Linked DNA regions of Oryzias latipes. The protein of the gene in region 1 binds, or shares a complex with, the protein of each later gene. Links are inferred from orthologs where the notes say so. Each region holds a gene or a part of one and is shown on either strand. Other genes may lie near its edges.

Region 1 (5,603 bases):
CTGATCAATGGATGTTATTTATTCAGAATTAAAGTGGATTTAGTGGTAAATTACAATCAATAGATGAGTCTGAGATCAGATTATTGGTGAAAACGAAAGACTGAAAGTGATGGAAGTCTTGTTATCTTGGAAGCACAGAGAGAAAATAATAATTAATGTAAAACCAGACTGATGGACTGAGTTAATCGTTAATGCTAATGAGTTTTCTCCCTCCTAGATGATGTAGCAAAATTTCAGCTACGTGGATCACTTATGTTGAAAACTGGTCGGGAGCCAAGTGTCTCTTTAAATCAGAACCAGCTCTCAGAGGAGGACAGAACCAAACTGAAGGTGAGCTAATAGTGTCATCGTAATAACAGCACTCCCCACAGATCCATGCAAAATAACATTACTGCAGACAGATATGACTTTAGAAAATGTGTTGCAATACGAAGGCGTTGGACAACAGCTTGTGGTTTGTTTTGTGTCCTCAGGAAGTGGCTGCAGTCGACGGCCTCTACAGAATCCGAGTTCCCCGTGTGTTTCTGCAGGCAGACAAACAGACCGAGTGGCAGAGTGAAGGTCACCTCACAGCATTTGTCAGAGCAGTACGTGGTCTACTCTTGATCAGATTCATCTTAAAGGTTTTCAGGAAATACCACATTCAGATCAGGTTGTTTTATTATAAAACCAAAGGGGTTGCAAGTCTCTGTTGATTCTATTTGTGAAAATTAGTCAATTGTATTTGTTTTCAATTTATTTTGTGGAAAAATATTTCTGTTTAAATGATAAACAATAGAATAAATACACATAGAAAATGCCTTTTAGAAAGAGGTTAAAAGTTACAAAAATGCTGTTGTAATGTAGAGGAAGAGATTGAAAGGTTTTAGTTAGATATATGTGATTACCTTGATGTTTTTTCCTCTATCTTTTGAAATATCCCATGAGTTTTTTTTCATTCTTCAAATCAAAAAGTTCTTATCATTTTTGGTAGATTTAAGTTCTAAGCTTAGCTGAGAAAGTTTGTCTGAAGGCCATCACCTTTCAGGCTGAACTACAACTAGAGAGGAAATTTATGTTTAGCTTTAACTAGCTGGTACACTTCAGAGGTTACATCGTGGTAAGGTTGGCCTGCTTCTCCTCTGTGATCCTCAGTGTGCCATGGTTGAGTCCCACCTGAGTGACGTGATCACGCTCCACACCGACGTCTCCGGATACCTCATCGGCGTTTCCATAGTGACTTTACCTGGAGCCTGCAGGGGAATCGAGGTGGAAGACGAAGTTGATCTTGAGGTTTTCAACACCACGCTCAGCATCATGGCTCCAGTCAACGCACCAGGGTCAGTCCTGGTTTCTTTTTTTTTAGTTTTTCTTTTCTTATTTATATTAAAAAATGTCTTTTTCTGGAGCCGATGCTATCTGCTGTATTGCCACAAGCTCAGGGTTGTATATTTGACCACAGCTACCACTCTTATCTGCTTGTCTTGACACACATATGAACTAATGCAGCATTATCTAGAATAACTGTTTAAAATCATTGTGGCGCTAGAAACAGAAAAGTCAAAACGCCACAAGATTCCTAAATGTACAAAACCAAGCAAAAGCAGCTGCCTTAAAGATGTATTTCAATAGAAGTTTTTCAACAAGCATTTCTCCTTATGTTTGATAAATTCAAGTTTAATTTCCTTTACAATAACATGAACACTTCTTTGTTGTATTAGGTCTGATCATCATTTTATCTATTTTCAAAGCGTTCTTCAAAGACAGACTCTGATGAAAATCTTGTTTTGGTGTTTTTAACATGTTCTAATGGCATTTTCCTGATTATGGAGGACATGTATAAAGACAATTAAGCTTAAAACTGCATTCCTGCATATTTCTTTATTCATATAAGGAATCAGGAGCAGACAAACGAATGCCATGTGATGAAGAGTTTATTTGTGTTAATTTTGCTCCATTCTAAAGCATCCACTTGCAGACAAATGGGTCCATAAACGTCTTTGTTTTCCCCGTCTGCGCTGGAATCTTGACCCAAACTGTATGGCTGGATTGCTCTCCACTGTTGTTGCATGGATTATTAAGATAGCATGAGAGTTAGAGAGATGGATGATGGTAAGTAGGGGCAGGCTCACCCCGTGACAACAGTTCTGCCTACCACATTTTTAATGGACTCCTGCCACTGCAGAAAACTGTCCTAGAAAATGACAGGTTTTTGGTTTTTGGCTAAAAACGTGTCATTAATTTATTTCAAAAACGTTTAAAATTATGATGACAAGACCACCGTGAATGCTTTGAAAATAGATCAGAAGACGATCCTTTGGAAGTGCTCAGCTGTATAAATATTTGGGGGAGTCCTGTTTTCCTGACGTCTTTGGTCTTCTCACGTTTATCAGGACTTGTGGAACAAGTCTTTTCCTTCTTTGAATACTGATGAGAACTTTCCCGCAGACCTGAGACGGCGCTCTTCATCCAGCGAATGGAGCAGGAGTTTGAGAAGAAAGGCAAAAATCCACAGGAGCAGAAGTCGTTCTTCGCTAAATATGTAAGTGTTGCACCTCAAGACTGCAGTTTATCGCCATCAGTCTGACCTTCATGTCCACAGAGATGGTTGCTTTAACCTCCTCTGTTTTAACTTGTCTTTGTAACAATGCTTTCAAACCTCTTGTGTAGTCAATTTGGTTGACATCAAGGCAAATAAAGTCTTTCTTTTTTTTTTATGCTAGTTTAGCATCTGTGTCCATAACTTAACAGCAGTTTAGTTTTGGGTGGTTTTTTTTTTTCCTTTGCCTCATCTCAGCCCTGCCTACTATCGCTGAAGGGTATTTTCTTGCTTTAGAGCTGCTGTAACGTTCAGTTTTGTTTGACACGGTCGTGTGGTCCTGTGTTTTCATTGGAGGCGTATGGACCGTGTCCCCTCTCTTGGCTCGGCTGAGCTCCTCTCTGTCTTGTTTGGTCGCGTGCCGTGTCCCCTGTCGCTGTGTTGACTTGATACTGTGGTGTGTTGCAGTGGTATTTGATTCTGGGAGGTGCTATCTTCCTCATGGTCTCCAATTCGGCCCAGCCCCCAGCAGGGGGAGGCAGAGAGCAGAGCTGATACCCACTGAAGTACAGTCTTCTTACTTGTGGCTCACCTGTCCTCCTCCTTCTTCAGTGTTTGTGACTAACTTCTTTACAGTGTGAATAACTAACGCCTCCCTGCTTGATTTACTCTTTTTCATTGGGGTGTTGTATTTTGGGTCAAATGCTAATTACATCTCAGGGTGGTGAATGAAATGATAAAATTGTAAAAATTCTTTCGATGAGGTTCCGATCAGTTCAGAAACGTCTTGTGTTTGTTTGGGTTTGACCCTAAAACTTAATTCTGCTTTTCCTCGTCTGCTCGTTTGTCCTCTTTTAGATTTAACAGAATCAGGAACTCCTTATAGAAACCTATTGATCACACTTCATCCTAAAAACCAAATATGCTGTTGTATTCACCTTTCTTCCTTCTCTTCCCTCCTCCCACCCACAGTGGATGTACATCGTCCCTCTGGTTCTCTTCCTGATGATGTCTGGCGCTCAGGATCAATCTGGAGGTGGAGGCGGTGGCGGGGGTAACGGCGGCGGGCGATGATCAGGATCAGGCCCATTTCTTTTTTTTCTTAAACATATAATGAACGGCAAAGCGCTTTGATTTCTGTACGTGAGGTTATTTAAGAACGATAAGTGTCTGTAACACGACTTAAACCTGATTCATCAAGGACTGCATTCATTTTTCCTACTAATGTGAGAATAAAGTATTTATTACACAGATGAACTTGACTCACATCATCCTTACAGTGAAAAACTGGGATAAGGGCCACCATCCCTCTTATTTAAAAAGGTTGGTGGGCTTTAGGGTAGCTCAGAAGTGTCAAAAAATATCACATTTTATAGGATAAACTTTCACCAACTAAACTTGGTGAAAGTTCATCCTTCAGTGAGCATTAACTGTGAACCAAATAATCGATCGAGTACTGGGAGTAACAGCAGGATCGGCTGACAACAAAACATTGGTCAAAAAGGTCTAAATCCCATCGGAATGTAAATAATCCGTTTTTTGTCCTGTTGTCTCTCTACTGGCTTTACCTTTTTATGCACATGTGATGCATTGATTTATGAAGACCCCCTTTAATTTCCTGTTTACAAGACGATCCTCATTTTGTTGCGCAGCAGTCCTGGACTGAAAGGACCAGATTTTCACGATTCTTTTCCCTTGGTGCACCTTTTAAGTGAAAGGAAGTTTGGAAATTACTACGGGATGGTCACATGACCTGCAGCTTGGTGGCCATTCTGTTGCAAAGTGGGAAATTAGCCGATTTTACCGTTGTTGGACGAACTGGAAAAGAAAATTAGTTCGAGTGATTTTCACAAAATGTCCCACACACACTGCCAGGCTAAGTCTACAGCCACAACCCAAATTTCATTGACCTTTGACCTCAGGAAGAGGCTTCCATCTTGAATTTCCTCAAGCATCATTGGGAAGCTAAAGCGTTGGAATTAGAACTTGTATATTTTGAATGGCGTTAGCATGGCGAGCTTCCAAAAGTGGCGTTCCCCTGTTGCTCGCACATTTTTTACCGGAATGTTGTGAAAATTGAATCTATGAGTAGCCTGCGTCAGACTGGCAACCCATCCAGAGTGTCCCCCGCCTTCGCCCACAAGTGGCTGGGATAGGCTCCAGCAGCCCTGTGACCCTGAAAGAGACAAAACGGAGGAAGATGAATGAATAATCTGAGTCGTTGGCTCGAGCTAAAAAAAATGATATGACATACGATATGAACCTATCAGATATGTGGCTGTGGTTAATTTAAAAGAAAAACCTCAGTTGCCAAGGAAATCCAACAGTTTAACTTTGCAGATTCTTCTAAAACGTGCACAGGACTGTTCGTCACGCCCTGGTGACCAAAAAGTTAAATGGTTGCTATGGAGATAAAACCAACAAAAGAGCTGCCCTTTTGAAAAGTAATTTTTGTCACATGCAGCTCTGACCAAGGGTAGCAGAGACAGAAGAGAGAAGGGCCTGAAGCCAGTTAGGGCAGGTAAAACCAAATGGGGTAATGGGGGCGTGGCGGGGATAATGGCGAGTGTGGGTGGCGCCACTTGCAGCTTTAATTTTTGATGTCTTTGGTTTTTATTTTCAAGACGAAACGCGAAATTTCCAGCTAATGTGGACTTTTCCTCCACTGTTTGTATTTTTAAGTATGAGTCAGGGAGGTCACAGTCTCACAGCAGCACGGCCCCCTGAAACAGGATGTCCTAAAATCCCTGTGTCAACATTGCAACTCCTCTTCCTCCTGTCAATCACCCAGTCTGGCTGTTTTTAGTCAGCACCTCCAACTGCGAGGAAAATCCTCTCATTGTGGGAGGCTCAGTTCTGAAGTGCAGCTCATCCAATCGGCAGAAGGCCTTTTCTGAGAATGACACGCCCCGTCCCGGACTGCGAGCGTCCCACACATCCCTCCTGCTGTGTGGCTGAAGAACGTGAAGCGTGAGATGGTGATGACAGCTGAGGGGAAGGAGAGATGGAGTGAAATCAACCGCATGACAAAAGTCATCCGTTTGTAAAGAGATCTGCCTCTGCCAGGTGGGTGGGGGGGGGGTGG
Region 2 (6,436 bases), on another chromosome or scaffold:
GGAGATCCAGCTGGACGTGCGCATCGAGGAGAGCGTCTCCCCCCCTGCTCCAGGTAACGGGAGGCGGGATGACGTTCGTGAAGCCCCGCCCTCCCCGGACGGTGACGGGGATGTTTGCTGTCTGCAGGTCAGGACTCCATCGTGGTGGCGGTTCAGTATCTGGGGCAGGAGGTGGCCCGGCGGCAGATCCACGGCTCCGACGTCAGGATCCTGTACCAGCCGTCGTCCGCCCTGCCGCCGACGCCGGCCGCCCTGAACAAGAGCTTCCCGCGGATCCTGCTGCCGGAGCCACCCCCCACGCTGCCCGCCGGCCAGCAGCGCCAAGCCATTTTCACCCTGCTGCCCTTCATGGAGAGGGGGGTGGTGCTGACCTCCCAACCGCAGGGCGTTTACGGAAAGAGGTTCTGCCAGGGGCGGGTCTTTTGGACCGGGCCGCATGGCTGTGAAGCGGGTCTGCAGCGCATGGAGCGGAACACGGAGCCGGTGCTGCTCTTCAGTAAAGACATCTTCAGGCAGCGTGAGTCCCACTGTCCAATGGGGGGGAGGGGGGTTGGTGCTCATGTTTCTGTCTGCCTAACCCCCCCCTCCCTCCCGTCTGAGCAGAACTGGATCATTTCCGGACCAGCGGGGGCGAGCCCCCCCAGTGCAGCTTCACTCTGTGCTTTGGGGAGGAGCTGTCTCACACAGAGGACCCCAGCACCAAACTGATCACCGCCACGGTGAGGAGGTCCACTCAGACCCCCCCCCACACACACACACACACAGACAGAACCAGAACCATGCTGTTATTTCTGACCCATTTCACATTCTGTAGTATTTTTTAGATGAAGGGGTTGTCAGAACTGGCCTGCTTTTAGGCTCAGGTGTTGCTCCTGCTCCTCCTCCTCCTCCTCCTCCTCCTCCTCAGCATCCTCTCCATGTCTACACCTCCTCTGCAGGTTTCCATTCCCTGGGCGGAGGAGCAGGTCCAGAACGCCCTCTCCATCTTTCAGTCCATCTCCGTGCTCCAGACTCTGGCTAGTCAGTCTCCGCTGGGGGAGATCACCCTGAACCTGGTGTCGGTGCCGGCAGCAGCTCAGGAGCCACCAACATCTCCCTCCGTCTGACCGGGAGCGCCGCCGAGGGAGGGGGGGGACGAGCAACCAGAAGGTTTTGCTCTAAGGAGTTTTTGCACAAACATCTCCAGCACTTCTATTTCACCTTTACGCCAAGTTTGAACCTTCAACCCCAAAAATCAAGTGAACTGAAGGTTTTCAGATCAGGAAACACTAAGACTGAAGGAACGTTGTATACATGAACGTTCCTCAGAAGATGGAGGAAAAAAACAAGTTCAAACTTTTATTTTGGGATCTGGAGTGTGACTTCCTGCTTCCACATTCTCCTCAGAAGCTTAGAGCTTCACATTCCTGATGATCAGATGTTCTGGTCGGTAAATCCGTCCAATCGTCTTCTCTGTGAGATGAAGATGCTCACCGGACTTTCCTGAGTTTCATCCACGTGTTCCACTGCAAATGTTCGGGATTAAAGTCACGAACGTTCCCGTTTGAAATGTAAAGGCAGCAGAACTCATCCGTGGAGGAGGTGGATCCACGGAGGATCGAAGGTTTCCAAAGTGAAAAAGACGGATTGCAGCTTCATCACATCGTCTTCGTTTTCCAGCTGGAGCTGCAAACTCACCTGTCTGTGGAAGGGACACCTCCTGTTTGAAGGACAAGCTCTGTGCACGTGTGTGTGTGCACACGTTAACATGCACGTCTGTTTGTACGTCTATGTACAACTGCACGTGTGTGTACATATGCTTGAGTGAGTGCACGTTTACGTGTATTTGTTTGCACATATGTGTGCACGTTCATTTGTCTGTGAGTGTGTGCGCTTAACGTGTGCATGTCTATGTGCGTGTATATGTCTGGGTGTGTGCACATGTGTACTTGAATGTGTATCTGTGTGTGCGCAAATCTATGCGCAAGTGCACGTTTGTGTGTTTGCATATATGTGTGCACGTGTAGTTGTTTGTGTACGTCTGTGTGTTTGCACATTTTTGTGCGTGTATTTCTGTATGTGTGCGACCCTCTGTGTGTTTGTGCACATGCGCGTGTATTTGTCTTTGTGCGTGTGAAAAACCACAAGACAAGAGCTGCAGGGTTAAAAGTGACTTTAAGTTAGTTTGGTCGGGTGGGGGCGGGACTGGACCACAAGCAAACTCAGGAGAGGGGGGGGGTGGAAGACTGGGATGTACCAACAGGTCAGTCTGTGGCCCCCACACCTTTGAAAGAAAGATGTCCCTGCTTGGGAGGGGGTGGGTTGAACACAGAAATAATGGAGGCCCCCTCCGGGGCTAAATGTTCCCGTTGGGGGGCGAGGACAGCTCCGCAATCTTAGCGTTGAGTTTCTGATTGGTCCAGTCCTTTGTGATGTCATCCAAGTGGCTGTCAAAGTCCACCAATAGAGCGTGATCGCCCGCCTCCAGCATCTGGGAGGCGATCGCCCGAGTCTCCTCCCACTGTCGGAGCATGATCCTGGGGGGGGGGCAGCAGAGAGGCAGGGGTGAATGCAGGTTTCACGTGGTGTAGCGGCCAACACCGCCGCAGCACCAATGCTGGAATGTAAACAGCTGCAGGTATTGATCTGATCAGCGTCTCTAATGCACACTTCCTCCCAGAACCACCTAAACGGGTCAGAACTTTCTTAAATATATTATCACAGAGCTGCGTGAGGTTCAGTGTCTTATTCAAGAGCACATGTGGGGGTGTTTAGGGCGGGAATCAAACCTCTTCCTGTTTCAAACCTCTGTGCCACAGCCACCTTTTGTATGATTGTTCCATCCCATAGGACACATAGGTTGTTGTTTTTTCTTCAATAATAAAAGGGATTTTACTTTGAAAGAAACCTAAATTCCAACTTCAAGAAGATGTTCTTGAACGCAGCATAGTGACCCACAGTGTGGACCCTGAATGCAACACGAGGCTCTTCTTCAAGAAAAAGCCCAAGGCGACAGCCTGACCTTTCACCTTAGGAGTTAAACTACTGACTTATGGAACCTTTCAGAATAAAAGCATCTGTTTTCCATGTCAACTTTGAGCGTTTTTTAATTTTCATTGATTTACTCGAAGCTTTCGGCTCTCACAGCAGGTAACTGTCAAACATTTTGAACGTTGTGCGTGGGGGGCCAGCAGGCTCCACCTACTTTTATTTTTTGTGAGTTTATAGAAAAGAATTTAGGTGTGTTTTTTTTATATAATAGGTAGGTGGACCCAACAAAGCTCTACTTCCTGTTTTGGAAATGTTGAGGCTTCATGAAGCTTCGTTCACATGGCGATGCTTTCAATGAAGGCAAGGCAAGGCAAGTTTATTTGTATAGCACAATTCGTACACAAAGTAATTCAAGGTGCTTCACAAAACAGAAAAATGCATTAAAATCACAATACATCATAGAAATAATCAACATAAAATTTACTTTAAAAGAAAAAAAAAGATTTAAAAAGAAAGGAAGGAAAGAAAAGTGCAGATAGGACCTTTCAGTCATATACACGGCTAAACAGAAATGTTTTAAGTCTAGATTTGAACATGAACACAGAAGAGGCCTGTCTTATGACTTCAGGGAGGCTGTTCCAGATTTTAGCTGCAGAATATTGAAACGCTGATTCCCCTTGTTTAGTTCTGACTCTGGGAATCAACAGGAGGCCGGCCCCTGAGGTCCTCAGAGTACGAGATGGTTCATATGGCACTAACATGTCAGAGATGTACTTTGGTGCTCGGCCATGGAGAGACTTGTACACAAGCAGAGCTGCTTTGAAGTCTATTCTTTGAGGTACAGGGAGCCAGTGCAAAGACCTGAGCACAGGACTAATGTGATCATACTTCCTGGTTCTGGTCAGGACTCGAGCAGCAGCATTCTGGATGTAGTGAAGCTGTTTTACAGCTCGTTTGGAGAGGCCGGTGAGCAGGCCGTTACAGTAGTCTAACCTACTGGAGACAAATGCATGAATAAGTATCTCCAGGTCTCGCTTTGAGATTATGTTTTTGATTTTGGCAATGTTTTTCAGATGGTAAAATGCCGCTGATGTTACTGACTTGATATGGCTGTTAAAGTTCAGGTCAGAGTCCATGATTACCCCTAGATTTCTGACTTGATTTGAGGGTTTAAGAGACAGAGAATGAAGGTAGCTGCTGACAATTTCTCTTTGTTTCTGTGGGCCAAAAACAATAACTTCGGTCTTGTCTGAGTTTAGCTGGAGAAAGTTGTTCTGCATCCACGCACTGATCTGTTGGAGGCAGTGGCTGAGTGAATCCACTGGCCCATATTCACCTGCTGTCAGTGACACATAGATCTGAGTATCATCTGCATAGTTGTGATAAGATATGTTATTACTGCGTATTAACTGCCCTAGTGGCAGCATGTAGAGGTTGAACAGAAGGGGTCCCAGGATCGATCCCTGGGGCACACCACAAGTCAAGGCCATGTAGTCTGAGACACAACTCCCAATTTCAACAAAGTATTTCCTGTCTTCTAGATAAGACTTGAGCCAACTTAGGGCAGATCCAGAGATGCCAACCCAGTCTTGGAGTCTGTGCAAAAAGATCCCATGATCAACAGTATCAAAGGCAGCGCTCAGGTCTAGCAGGATTAAGACAGTGACTTTGCCATCATCAGTGTTCAGGCGGATGTCGTTGGTTACCTTGATAAGAGCAGTTTCTGTGCTATGATGGGGTCTAAAACCTGACTGGAAAACATCAAACGAATTGTTTAATAAGAGAAAATCAGTGAGCTGTTGGTAGACAACTTTTTCAAGGACTTTTCCTAAAAGTGGCAGATTAGAGATAGGTCTGTAATTATTCAGTACAGTGGGATCAAGACCGCTTTTCTTCATGAGAGGTTTAATGACTGCAGTTTTTAAGGCCTCTGGAAATATTCCAGATTGAAGAGACATGTTAACTATTTGAGTAATTGATGGCGACACACTGTTCAGGACAGACTTTAGAAATCTAGTGGGTAACACATCAAGGCAGCATGTAGACGAGCTCAGACGGGTGATGGTCTCTTGGACAGTTTGGTCAGTGACAGGTACAAAGTGAGTCAGCTTAGAGTGAGTAGGTGGCCGTTGGATAGTTATATGTGTTGTGGAGTTGATGGCTTTTTTAATGCCCTGAACCTTGTCATTAAAAAATACAGCAAACTCATTACATTTAGGTGTACAAACCAATTCTATTGGTAGCTGGGTTGGAGGGTTAGTTAATCTGTTTACTGTTGTGAACAGGATACGAGAGTTGCTGCTGCAACTTCCAATTATTTCAGAGAAGTACCTTTCCCTTGTTCTGCATAAGATCTGGTTGTAAGCGTACAACTCCGCCTTATATATTCCAATCTATGTAAACCCGCATGTCGGGCCCCCGGGTTCAAACCTATCACGCTTGTGTGTCTTCGTACAAAATTTTGCAAGTAAACCAGTTGAACTTTGACCAATCAGGGACTGGGATTCGGCAGTGACGTGTGGACGGCGTCCCCTCTAATTCACGGAAGTGAAAATTAATCATGGAGGAGAAATGAATAGTTGTGGTTTGGAATTCTAGGACACCAACCGCTTTGACATTTCACACCAAGACTCTCCTGACTGTAGGAGGGGGGGACATGCGCTAGTAAAAACAATAGAAGAAGAAGCCCCTCCCTGCTCCTGCAGTGTGAACACCATCAAGAACACGCGTCAAGTGGGAACGTAGCGTCACGATTGAGTAGAACCCGACTGTAGTAAAGTGGACAAAACAAACATCTGCCACTACATCTGACAACGTTTGGCCCCCCCCGGCCCTCCAGTCCACGCATGGGGTCCGCTTCGGCTGGAAACTGTCAGCGAGGAGGTTCTGGAAGGCTGAAGCCAAAGTAGAAACTCCTCAAAATGTGATTGGAGGCAGAACGAGCCACGCTGAGCTGGTTCAAACGGAAACGCCGCTTCCTCACCTCCTTCCATCTCTGAACACCCCCAGGAGAAGCTGCAGCAGTGCCGACGCGATGCTGCGACTGCGTTCTGTTAGCTTTCAAACCTCACCTCCCTGACACCTTCCTTATCCGGGCTGGGGACCGGCACAGGGGGACCCAGACTTGTGGCTACATAGTTGGGCAGTAGTGTGAAGGCCTTTAGATAAAGCTAAACGTCCTGCCTGGGAATCAAACCTAATCTCATGGATCTCTAATTGAATCCATAGAAAGGATTCATCAAATTGGTTTGAGAGCATCATTCTCCAAAATTCCTTCCTGCTCCTAGAAGCTGACAGAGAAGCAGACTTACATGTGTTTGTCCTTCAGGATCCACCTGGAGTCTTTGCGCTCGTACATCACGATGGGAGGAACCCGATAGTCCGGAGGCATCTTGCTGCCGTCCAGCTGTTGACGGAACCAGAGCAGACGGTCAGTCCTCTGCTCTGCTGCAAATGCACAGGCGGC

What was found.
Region 2: emc10 (region 1) and emc9 share a complex: the UniProt entries of both Homo sapiens proteins name them as parts of the ER membrane protein complex. The link is inferred for Oryzias latipes from reciprocal best matches to the Homo sapiens genes EMC10 and EMC9.

What each region holds. Positions count from the first base shown.
Region 1 is NC_019866.2:3,433,367-3,438,969, reverse strand, and holds the end of emc10 (ER membrane protein complex subunit 10), read left to right. Parts: intron 1-217; coding exon 218-330; intron 331-473; coding exon 474-587; intron 588-1,134; coding exon 1,135-1,319; intron 1,320-2,427; coding exon 2,428-2,521; intron 2,522-2,986; coding exon of another isoform or gene 2,987-3,073; exon of another isoform or gene 3,074-3,084; intron 3,085-3,490; coding exon 3,491-3,592; 3' UTR 3,593-3,775; downstream 3,776-5,603. UniProt on the Homo sapiens protein: Part of the endoplasmic reticulum membrane protein complex (EMC) that enables the energy-independent insertion into endoplasmic reticulum membranes of newly synthesized membrane proteins.
Region 2 is NC_019878.2:23,618,809-23,625,244, reverse strand, and holds the end of emc9 (ER membrane protein complex subunit 9), read right to left. Parts: intron 6,377-6,436; coding exon 6,282-6,376; intron 2,517-6,281; coding exon 2,336-2,516; 3' UTR 2,136-2,335; downstream 1-2,135. Other genes in the region: irf9 (interferon regulatory factor 9), read left to right, coding at 1-53, 128-517, 604-719, 939-1,106. UniProt on the Homo sapiens protein: Part of the endoplasmic reticulum membrane protein complex (EMC) that enables the energy-independent insertion into endoplasmic reticulum membranes of newly synthesized membrane proteins.